Linked DNA regions of Ovis aries. The protein of the gene in region 2 interacts with the protein of the main gene of each other region in a pairwise test. Links are inferred from orthologs where the notes say so. Each region holds a gene or a part of one and is shown on either strand. Other genes may lie near its edges.

What was found. The genes of interacting proteins can lie anywhere in the genome.
Region 1: the proteins of RAPGEF4 (region 2) and SWAP70 interact in a two-hybrid assay, tested with the Homo sapiens proteins (2 studies listed by BioGRID and IntAct). The link is inferred for Ovis aries from reciprocal best matches to the Homo sapiens genes RAPGEF4 and SWAP70.
Region 3: the proteins of RAPGEF4 (region 2) and BMERB1 interact in binary tests that used the Homo sapiens proteins (3 or more experiments, as listed by UniProt). The link is inferred for Ovis aries from reciprocal best matches to the Homo sapiens genes RAPGEF4 and BMERB1.

The regions. Positions count from the first base shown.
Region 1 is NC_056068.1:42,644,972-42,648,680, forward strand, and holds part of SWAP70 (switch-associated protein 70), read right to left. Parts: coding exon 3,555-3,709; intron 1,651-3,554; coding exon 1,504-1,650; intron 393-1,503; coding exon 284-392; intron 1-283.
Region 2 is NC_056055.1:136,921,082-136,924,790, forward strand, and holds part of RAPGEF4 (rap guanine nucleotide exchange factor 4), read right to left. Parts: intron 3,457-3,709; coding exon 3,396-3,456; intron 1,058-3,395; coding exon 981-1,057; intron 564-980; coding exon 417-563; intron 1-416.
Region 3 is NC_056077.1:14,515,365-14,518,852, forward strand, and holds part of BMERB1 (bMERB domain-containing protein 1), read left to right. Parts: intron 1-956; coding exon 957-1,071; intron 1,072-2,387; coding exon 2,388-2,470; intron 2,471-3,488.

The DNA of each region.
Region 1 (3,709 bases), on a different chromosome or scaffold from region 2:
ATTGAGCCAGTGATGCCATCCAACCATCTCATCCTCTGTTGCCCCCTTCTCCTCCTGTCCTCAATCTTTCCCAGCATCAAGGTCTTTTCCGATGAGTTGGCTGTTTGCATCAGTCACAAAAATATTGGAGCTTCAGCTTCAGCACCAGTCCTTCCAATGAATATTCAGGGTTGATTTCCTTTAGGATTGACTGGTTTGATCTCCCTGCCATCTAAGGGACTCTCAATGAAAAACAGAAAGTGCTCTCAAGTTATATCATGACAAGTAATAAAAATTATCTTACCCTGAATCCATTCTTGTTTCTTCTTCTTATCTGAAGCACTGATCTCAAAGGTCTTCTCGAAACATTTTATGAGAAAAAGGCATTTCTTTCCATCTTTGTCAGGCAAGGGCTAAGACAGAAAGCAAAATTAGTCTTTCAAATTTTACTTTCAAGTACTTAAATTCAAACTTAATTACTTATACAAGAAGTACCTATAAATGAATGTTACTGATTTATTTATGCTGCCCTCTAGGCAACAATACTTGTTGTAAAAATCACCCCAGATTAGCATACGACATCTAGACTGGGAGAACCAACATCACTTGATGGGCCATGATATGGCCTTTCCTGAGCACAGCAAACCTTGTACATTGCACCTTATACCTGAACACATCTCTCACAGGAATCCTGGAAAATATGCCCATGGAACTGTTCCAATAGGTATAGACACCCAGGGTGATTCCCACACCCTGCAGATGCGTCTCTCCCTTCCTTGCACCAGGGTGTTGTTGCTAGCAAGCTGTGGTTCTTGTCCTAAATCCTTATAAGTAGACTGGCACAGTCTATCATAATCCTGTGAGTCTCCATGTTTAACTGAATCTAAGAAGACCCCTTACTGGGCACTGCATACCCGTAATATTAACACATACCACTTCATCCATCAAGACACATTATCATTTATGAATGAGATCTTAGGTATTTTAAATGTTCTTCAACAAATACAGATATGATAATAATTCAGACACAAAATAAAAATTCAAAACATTATGTTCTTGAGGATTTCACCTATTTACAGAATTAGCAGTGATAAAGTGTTCTGAAAAGTCATACCAATTATTCAAAGACATGTTCTTTTGGTTTATTTATTACACTCCAAAATGGCCCAGGTTCTCAGACACACTCATGATTTCAAACACTGTCTTACTGATTTTTTTTGGCTTTGTTTTCTTATTTATGACTCCATTTTACTCAAGAAATGATTCCTTAAATATACAAATAAATGAGATTTAATCCCTATACATTATTCTCAAATACAAGACAGAAAATAAATTCACATTAGAAAAAAATTTTTTGTCAGGTATCTGTAATTTTTTGGTTCAGAAACTATGGTTACTGTATGTGTATATTATTTTAGAAATGTGAATTTTAAGATTATTTTTAAAGCTCTAGAGTCTAGAAGGAAGATAAACTACTTGAACAGCAGGCGGCAGCACTGGAAAGAAGTAACCACTGACTCTTACCTCCACACAGCAGTTCTCATCCAAGAGAATGTCTCCTTTCTTATCTTTCAGATCCTCGCTCACATAATAAGAAATTATGTTGGGTTTTAATACAAACCAGCGTTCAGTCCAGTTTTTCCGTCTATGGCCTTTCTTTATCATGTAACCCTAGGTAAGATTAAATCTGATATAAATGCTGGTGCTTTTCCTTATAAGAGCTGGTATCTCTTCCTTTTAACACACACACACACACACACACACACACACACACACACACACACACCCCTCTTCCCCGGCCCCCCACACACACCTCTTCCTTTTAACACACACACCCTAACTGTGATTCTCAGTAAATCTGCTGCTGCTGCTAAGTCACATCAGTCGTGTCCGACTCTGTGCGACCCCATAGACGGCAGCCCACCAGGCTCCCCCGTCCCTGGGATTCTCTAGGCAAGAACACTGGAGTGGGTTGCCATTTCCTTCTCCAATGCATGAAAGTGAAAAGTGAAAGTGAGGTCGCTCAGTCATGCCCAACTCTTACTGACCCCATGGACTGCAGCCCACCAGGCTCCTCTGTCCGTGGGAGTTTCCAGGCAAGAGTACTGGAGTGGGTCGTCAGTGCCTTCTCCGCTCAGTAAATCTACACCCATTATTGAAAATGCTAAAAGGTGTCAGCAAACCTGGCCAAGCATGCCTTCTCAGACAATCACTCTCTGGTACCAGTGTACCTCTCTACCTGACCTCTCAGGATTCCAAAGGAGCAGAAGATGAACTGGACCAGTAGTCAGGATCCTGGCTTCTAAGTATAGCTTTTAGCTCACACTTACTAGACTTGTATTTTCTTCCCATATGTCAGCCTCAAAGATGTGTGATCCAAAATTTTATTTCAGCAAGACTACACATTACTACAGGCCAAAACACTTTAGGATTGTTCAAGATTTACACAGTAAATCTACAGGTGCTGATAGCGTGTGGCAGACTATACACATCATCAAATATATAATAATATTTTGGCTGTATCATGTGATCATTATATTAAGTTCTAATCACATTACTCGTTCAGTTTGCTAGCTCTTGACATTTAAACCAAGGCTATCTCATACTGCCGTTCATCTGCAGTTCTATATTCTGCCATCCTAATGGGCCTGGAAATCCTCTTCAGAGACCATGTTTCCTAACCTCTTACAGCACCAAAAACCTACACAAATTAAGCCTCAATTAAAGTTTATTGATAGGCTACATCTGAAGAAAAGAGAAAAACAACATCATTACCTAAGAGAGCAAAACAAGGACCAACCAGTAAGAGTTATTATTCAATATAATAAAGTAAGACATCTGAAAGACCCATTCAAAATATATAAATTCTATTTACTAAGCATTAAGTTTATTAAACAGACTATGTATGTCAGCATATGTATACCATAAATATTATCAGATGCTATGCAGGTACTGAGAATACAAACTTTATAACCTAATACGATAAACACAACTTTATTACATAAGGGCACTTTTCCCCAAAAGGAAGCATATTTTTCTGATTTCATAAAAATTATACATAGCCTATAGAGAGGTTAACATACATAAACATTATAGTAGTAAGCCCAATAATAAGAAAAGAAAAAGAATAAAGTAAAATTCATAGAAATCTCACAACCCAGCAGTGATCACTTCTAACATTTTGGCCCCATCCCTCCAGACAGCTCCACACACACATATCACACTGCATGAAAGGGATTACAAGACACCTGCTGGTCCACAACCCGTTTTCTTCACTGAAGAGTGTGCCAGGGCACCTTTCAGATGAGTGAGTATAGATGTACACATGACATGAAAGTACCATGTTCAGAAACGTGATCATTTAAACAGCGCTTTCAAAACAGTAACTTCCCAGTGTTTAACTGTAATTATTTACAATGTACGCCTAACACAAGACTGAGAAAATAAGAAATTTTATTCCTGTTCTAAATTAGCATAAAAATATAAGTGACTTAGGCTCATCTTTGGGATAAAAATGTTTTATTCGGAACGTCAAATTCTAAAGGTGAGGAGAAACAGTGTTACAGGATGCTTACCTGTTTCAGCACATCTAATATTAGCTCATTGAAGACCTCGTTAATTGCCATGGACACAGTCTGTCGATCCATGCCTTTGCTGAACTGTCCGTTTCCAACAAGCTCAATCAGTTCCCACACAGAAAGGCCATCTTTACTGTCATCAAAGTTGATTT
Region 2 (3,709 bases):
GAGAGGATATAAGGTTCAGATCTGGGAAGAGATAGGAGGTTTAGGATAGAGAAACATGGAGAAGGAGGAGAGGACAGACACAAAAGGGGAAGCCTAGGATAGCAAAGAGAAATGACTCAGACTGTGATATTTTGCCAAGGCATCTCTGTGTTTTAATGCTCATGAACTGGTTCAGGTGTGTGCAGGGTTATTTGGTCCGGAACAGTGTGACATATTTACAGCTTTACTAGAATATCACCTCTGAACCCCAGAACCCACACCAGCACACTGAACATACCAGGTCTGTAAGCAAGGCTCTTTGGCCCTAGAGCATTCATTAGTCACTGCGCTGCTCGAATAACACTACATCAACCCTTCACTTATCAGGCCAAAGTGGAAACAGGGAGCCCCTCAGCCACACTGCACCTCAGACTCACCCTCAGGATCCGGTTGAAATCCTCCTTGTCTACTCTTAAGAAATGGCAGTTATCTTCTCTCAAGACGATGGAGGCAGCTCTCGGGGCATCATTCACTAGGGCTAACTTGCCAAAGTCATCGCCCTCATGCAGGGTACAGACCACACCCTGGAGAGAACAAATCATGCAGATGAAGGTGATCCCTGGAACAGGACACACACCCATCCACCTCACACCACAAGCCCCCCTGCCCCGAAAATACTGAATATATATCCACAGGCTGTACCCAGAGATGTCACGGGGGAGGGGATCACAGAATTACATTATAGTGTTTCATTTTCCTTTCATTGAGTAATATGTGCTAGGACCTAACTTACATATCTACTTTATAATCCATGAGTCCCAGAAAGTTCAGTGTTACTCTGAGTATAAAAACTTAGACAATATATGATTCGAGAGGCCATAATGTCTTTTCTACATTGAGTAACAATGGTGTAGCAAGTTTAACTATAGTATTACACTGTTAATACTTAGAGCCAGTAGTAAATGCAGCATGATAAGGTTTCAAAAGAAAAAAATATATACCTTGCCATAAATGACTACATTCACTGATCCTTTTAGGATAATGTACCAGGAGGTGCCTTCTTCCCCTTGGTTAAATACTAGATACAAAAAGAAAAAAAGACTCATGACAAGAATAGAAGCACATCAATATAAATTACAGCTTATCAAATCATCATTTTAAAGGCCTCAGAATTATGCATTTAATTCCAGAAGGGGGGAAAAAAAAGCTAGCAAATACTAACTTATTCAGGCGGAATATTACTTCCTTTTCTTCAGAACATGAAATAAACAGGAACACTGTACTCCTTGCTATGTCCTACAGATATACGTTTACTATTAATTCTCCAGCAATCCATTCCTTAAAGCAATCCACTTCCCTCCACAATTCATCAAAACTTACTAAGCTATAGAACATAGTTTTTAAAACTAATCTGACCAATAACATGAAGTTTGTTATCATTTAGTCGCTCAGTTGTATTCAATTCTTTTCTGACCCCATGGACTGTAGCCCGCCAGGCTCCTCTATCCATGGAATTTTCCAGGCAAGAATACTAGAGTGGGCTGCCATTTCCTTCTCCAGGGGATCTTCCTGACCCAGGTGTCAAACCCACGTCTCCTGTATCAGCAGGCAGATTCTTTACCACTGAGCCACCAAGAAGCCCAGTGTGAAGTCTGAAAACATGCAAATCAGCACTACATACTGTTGATGGATACATATCTACATATATATATTTTTTAAATGGGTTGGAATGATTACCACATGATATAGGGTAGGAGTTACCTTGGAGAGGAAAAGAGAAGAATGAGATAATAAAGGAAACAGAGACTCTTCAAATGTAGGATTTCATTTTTTAGAAAATATAAAAAATGAAAATATGAAAAAATAGAGTGTCAGGTTAATACTTGATAAAAGTGTTTTTAAAAAAGGTTTTGTAACACTCTCCAGTGATTCATCTGAAATACTTAAATATTTCATAATAAAATGATCAGAAAGATTGAAGGAAAAGCACAAAAGAAGTTGTAAGTCACCAGTAATATAAACATTTTTTAAATGTTAATGTGAATATTTAAAACATAAAGAAAAAACATTCTTATTAAAGTAACTATCGATATTAGATGTACACTTTTGAGGACTAAAAGTAAATATTTGAAACATCGATGTTAACTCTCTTTGCTTTTATAGTTCATGGTCTCTGTTTGTTTGACTAACACAACTCAATCTGAAGAAAGAGCAAGATTTTCCAAAGATGGTCTCTTGAAAAGTTAACAGGTATCCATTAAAAGTGTTTTCTATGTTTCATTAGGTTAAGGTAGTATCAGTTTAAGTGGTGTGAAATTTTTCCTTATTGTAGAACTCCCAAGAAACAGAGCATGCTGGTGTGTCTTACAATTCTCCAAGAGAAATTAGAGGAGGCGTTTCGTGTCTTGAATACCCCACTCACCATGTTTTCCAAGAATGGTTTTGTAGGGAGGAGTGGGAAATGCTAGTCAAAATAATTCCGCTCACATTTATTAATATGAAATTTCAATTTCTTAAGAGGCCTTCTGACTTCCCCAGTGGGCTCACACAGTAAAGAATCCACCTGCCATGTGGGAGACCTGGGTTCCCTCCCAGGGTCAGGAAGATCCCCTGGAGGAGGGCATGGCAACCCACTCCAGTATTCTTGCCTGGAGAATCCCATGGACAGAGGAGCCTGGAGGGCTACAGTCCATGTCTGAAAGAGTCAGACACAACGGAACGACTTAACGCCTTCACTTTCAATTTCTTGCTCCAAAATATGATCACAGAACTAAACTACGGCATACTTACTGGAGAGATACTACATAGTGAAAGGGAAGTGAAGCTGCTCAGTTCTGTCCGACTCTTTGCGACCCCGTGGACTGTGGTCTACCAGGCTTCTCAGTCCATGGAATTTTCTAGGCAAGAGTACTGGAGTGGGTTGCCATTTCCTTCTCCACTACATAGTAGTACTACATAAATATCTGGGCAAAGAAATTCTCTCAGGCTTGGAGTTGATAGTGGACGCGTGAGAAGCAAGCAGGAGAGTATGCTATTCTAAGTAGCCTCTCAAGAGACAGATTAGGTCTTCCCAAGCCACAAAACTGAAGTGAGGTCACTGTGTGAAGGTTTTGCTTGCACTCTGCTCTGAAGACAGTGTGACTTCATCCCACCCGCTTTAAACACGACCTTGAGCCAGCAGGGGAGGGAGCAAGTGGAGATGCTGGCTGGTAAGTGCTCCCGTGCTGGTACCTGACACCCACCAGCCACAGCCATGCTGGGAATAATCACGGGTCCAGAAAAGCAAACGCGCCATGTGACATCCTGGCAAGTCTGTCTCAGGCCTAAGAAAGGGGAGCATTTATAGTCAGGCTCCAGGGGCACACGCTCAGGAGGGGGCACGCCAGGCACCGCACACCATTACAGCCTTCACTTACACACAGTCCCTCCTTTGGCATGAGACTCAAAAATGAGAACCGCTGCCAACTCCCGTTTCACCTAGAAGAAAAAGAGAAAGAGTGCAGGGAAGAGCCGGATTTCGGGGTGTGGGAAGGGACTTGCTCTCTTTCAGCGCAAACTCCCACCCAGCCGCCTCCCACTCGGCCTGGCTGCTCCTCTCACCTAGAACTTCCACTACATGGGCCACTAGGTTTTGGTTTTTTAACTGAAGTATAGTTGATTTACAATATTTCAGTAAAGTGATTCAGTTATACACATATCTACTCTTTTTCTGATTTTCCATTTTATTTTA
Region 3 (3,488 bases), on a different chromosome or scaffold from region 2:
AGTGGGGATGAATAGCTTGAGGAGGGAGGTTTGTGAGTTCCTGGGGATTCTACTTATAGCCACGTGACTCTGGTGTAAGATCTGGGGCCTGGCAGAGGACAGGGGAGTATTGGAAGGCTGCTGCTGGTAACTTGGAAAGGACAGTGACATCACTCCTTGAGTCGAAGGGCACTGTGGTTCATCCACCTGCAGAGGGCAAGGAGGCTCTATGGTGCTGACGAGTGAGTTGCAGAATCAGACTTCGGGACCCACTACCATCATCAGCACAGTGATGAGCAGGAATACAGGGGCTGCTAGATCCCAATTCCTTGCTCCCCTCTGATTAGTGAAAGAAACTGATTTTCTCTCTAACCTAAATATTATATTCTCCTTGTCTCTGGTTCTGCCTCCAGATCTAGAGGAAATAGTCAGTGACACTTTGAACTGGCAGAGGGACAAGCTGCCCCCTGAGTTTTATCTTCTGAGGGGGTCTGAGCAGAGGGAGCCAGTGCAGGGTTAAGTTTCTGCCCTCCTGGTCGTCTCAGTCTTCATGTCCAGCCCTCGTTGTTTTGTCTCTGCTATGATGCTCTAGCCCTTGGTATTTGTAACAGGTTGGGAAAGCGAGGGGTGCTTTTCCTCTGACGGGTTGGGTAAGCCTCACTACAGAGAAGTCACCTCCTGCATCCTGCCTGTGCCCTTCTCCCCTTGTCCTTCTTCAGAACCCCCTTGCAGCATCAATATCATTTAGCAAGCATCCACCACAGGCCAGCTCTGTGCCAAGTTGTTTACTAAGATCCCTACATTCTTGCATTCAAGCCTACTGTGTATTTTACAGAGGAGGAAACAGAAGCTTGAACTAATCCAGTTGCCTTCCCAGGTTCATCCAGCAAGTTAAATGGTCAAGGCAGGATTCCAACCCTGGCACTTCGGACTCATTTACACTCAAACTGTCTCTGCTAATGTGTTCTTCTTCCCAGAAAAAGAAAAAACTAAGTTGCAGAAGCAGAGAGAAGATGAGCTCATCCAGAAGATCCATAAACTGGTGCAGAAGAGAGACTTCCTGGTGGACGACGCCGAGGTTGAGCGGTTAAGGTAAGTGGGCAGTGTGTCCCCTGGGCAGGGCTGGGCTGTTAGAATGCAGCTCAGCTTCCTTCCAAAGCCCGTCATCTGCTCCCAGACTCACAGCTTTGCAACGGGTGTGTCCTGGCCCAATGCTTCCCAAACACTAGATCCAGATGAATCCTTCTGGCCCAAGCCCCCACGGCCTATTCAAGAGAAATTTAAATCCAGCTTCAAAAAGTTTTGCAAAGGCCTGTGGATCTTAAGTGAATGTCATCTGAGAAGGTGACCAGGGAGGAATTATATCACAGAGCACACGGAAGAGCTTCCTACACCTTCTTTTTACTGAACTTTCTCCCAACTCGTCAAGGCACCTTTTCCAGAAACTTCAATTCGTTTCTACAGAAACTCTGCCCTCTGTCCTAACTTGCTTCTTCATCCACCCTCCCCACTTCCCAGCTCTGTTCTCTCCCTTCCTGTCTCCTGGGGGCCTCTGATGCCCCTCCCTAGCCTTCGGGGTCTCCTGTTTGCAGATGCCCCTGCCCTGTTGATCTGGTCAGCCATGGGCCCTGGAGCCACAGTGCTCCTGAAGTCTCTGCAGAGGACCAGAGGGCACGAAAGATGCCAGTGTTGATTCTTGAATTTTTTTGTGCTGGAGCAAAATCTTGAGAGTCATCCACAGGGCAGAGGCTCAACGGGTCTCTTGCAAACCAGAAGACAACTTCCCTTTAATTCTCTGTGACCTTCCGAGTCCTCCAAGGTTGCTAGGATGCACTTTGCCCAGCTCAGCCAGGCTCGGACCATTGGCTTTGTTTCTGGTGACCCTTGGGAGAGCTGAGGTGGCTTGCCTTTGAGACCTGCTGCATTCTTTGTCTAAGGTAACTTAAAGGTGCAGGATCAGGAGAGGGATTGCCCAGCTCACTAAATCTCTGGTAGGGAGGCTGGGTCCTCTAACACCCCTGCCTCTGCCCTAGGGTCTCACACCAGCGGGCGTGGGCATTTACTCCATCACTGATATGTGTTTCTGCTTCAGAATAGATTCATCAAACAACACACACCCACCCACCCACTGTACACACATAACAACATGTGCCCACCACCCCCACACAAAACATAACACACATATACCACCCACATGTAACTCACATGTGCCATCCGCACATAACATGTGCACCAGTCACACACAGTACACATCAGCATATATGTACCACCCACATATAACACAGCAATATACACGCACCATCCATAAAGTCTGATACGTGATCCCACACTCTTGCCTCATTTTATTAGTTCCTTGATGCTCTCCTGGCTTACTGTTCTTTCCTGTCTTTACACATCTGTCTCCACAGGGAGCAAGAAGAAGATAAGGAAATGGCCGATTTTCTGAGAATCAAGTTAAAACCTCTAGACAAAGTAACCAAATCTTCAGCCAGTGAGTGCCTACACTATTCCTTCTCCTCCCACATCCGAGAGAAAAGGAAATTTAAATGAGGTCTGGAAGCCAAGGGGACGCAACATAAATGCTTTCTAGAGATCAAACTTGAGCACAGGATGGCAGCAGGCAGGGGCAGCTTCACGGGAGAGGAAGCCCAAGGACCCACACCTAGAAGGGCACTGTGCTTGCTTTCATGTCCTACTATTGCTGTCTTGGAAGTCAAATTTTCCAACAAGAGGCCCTGCCTTTTCATTTTGCACTGAGTCCTGCAAACTGTGTGGCTAGTGCTGGCAGCTAGTCCTTGCTCATATGATTTGGTACAGTTCATAGAGTTGGCCACTGAGGCAAGAAGGTGGGAACTAAGGCTCGGGAAGCTCTGGCCTCTGTTGGAGTTGGAGGAACAAAGGCAGAAGTTTGCTTCTCAGAATACCAGCCTCACAAGATACTCAAAGCAAAAAGGGTTCTGGGTGAAGTAAGTTTGGGAAATGCTGTGCACTTGACCACTCTTTGTAGGCTTCCAATACCCATTAGCATATTAAAGTGATAAGTCCTGCTGGATAGGAACTGCCTTCTTGTTGGCCAAGTGAGACCACTTTGAGTTATAAGAAATGGGTGTCCAATTCAAACTGGCCCTAGCAGTAAAAGGTGATTTGCTGGAAAAAGAGCAGTGGGAGCCAGGGCTCCAGGGACTGGACACCCTCGCTTTCTTTCTGGTTATCCACTTGGCACCTCTTGTCATGCTAGCTTCATTTCCTCCTCCTACACAGGCCTTCCTGGGGCTAGAAATCCAGGACCATAACTTAGCAGAAGCAAGGCAACAACTGGTATTTAAATGTGTAAGATTCTGACCAGCCTTTCTTGGATCACGTTCCCACCTGCTAGGCCCATCGAAGGGGCTGGGAAATTGTGATTTTCTGGATCCCGGTCACTTGCCCGCCCCTGTAGCCATAAGGGCATGAGCTGTTATCAGAGGAAGAGCGACGGACAGTCTTGTTAGGAAGACAAAACCCCACCC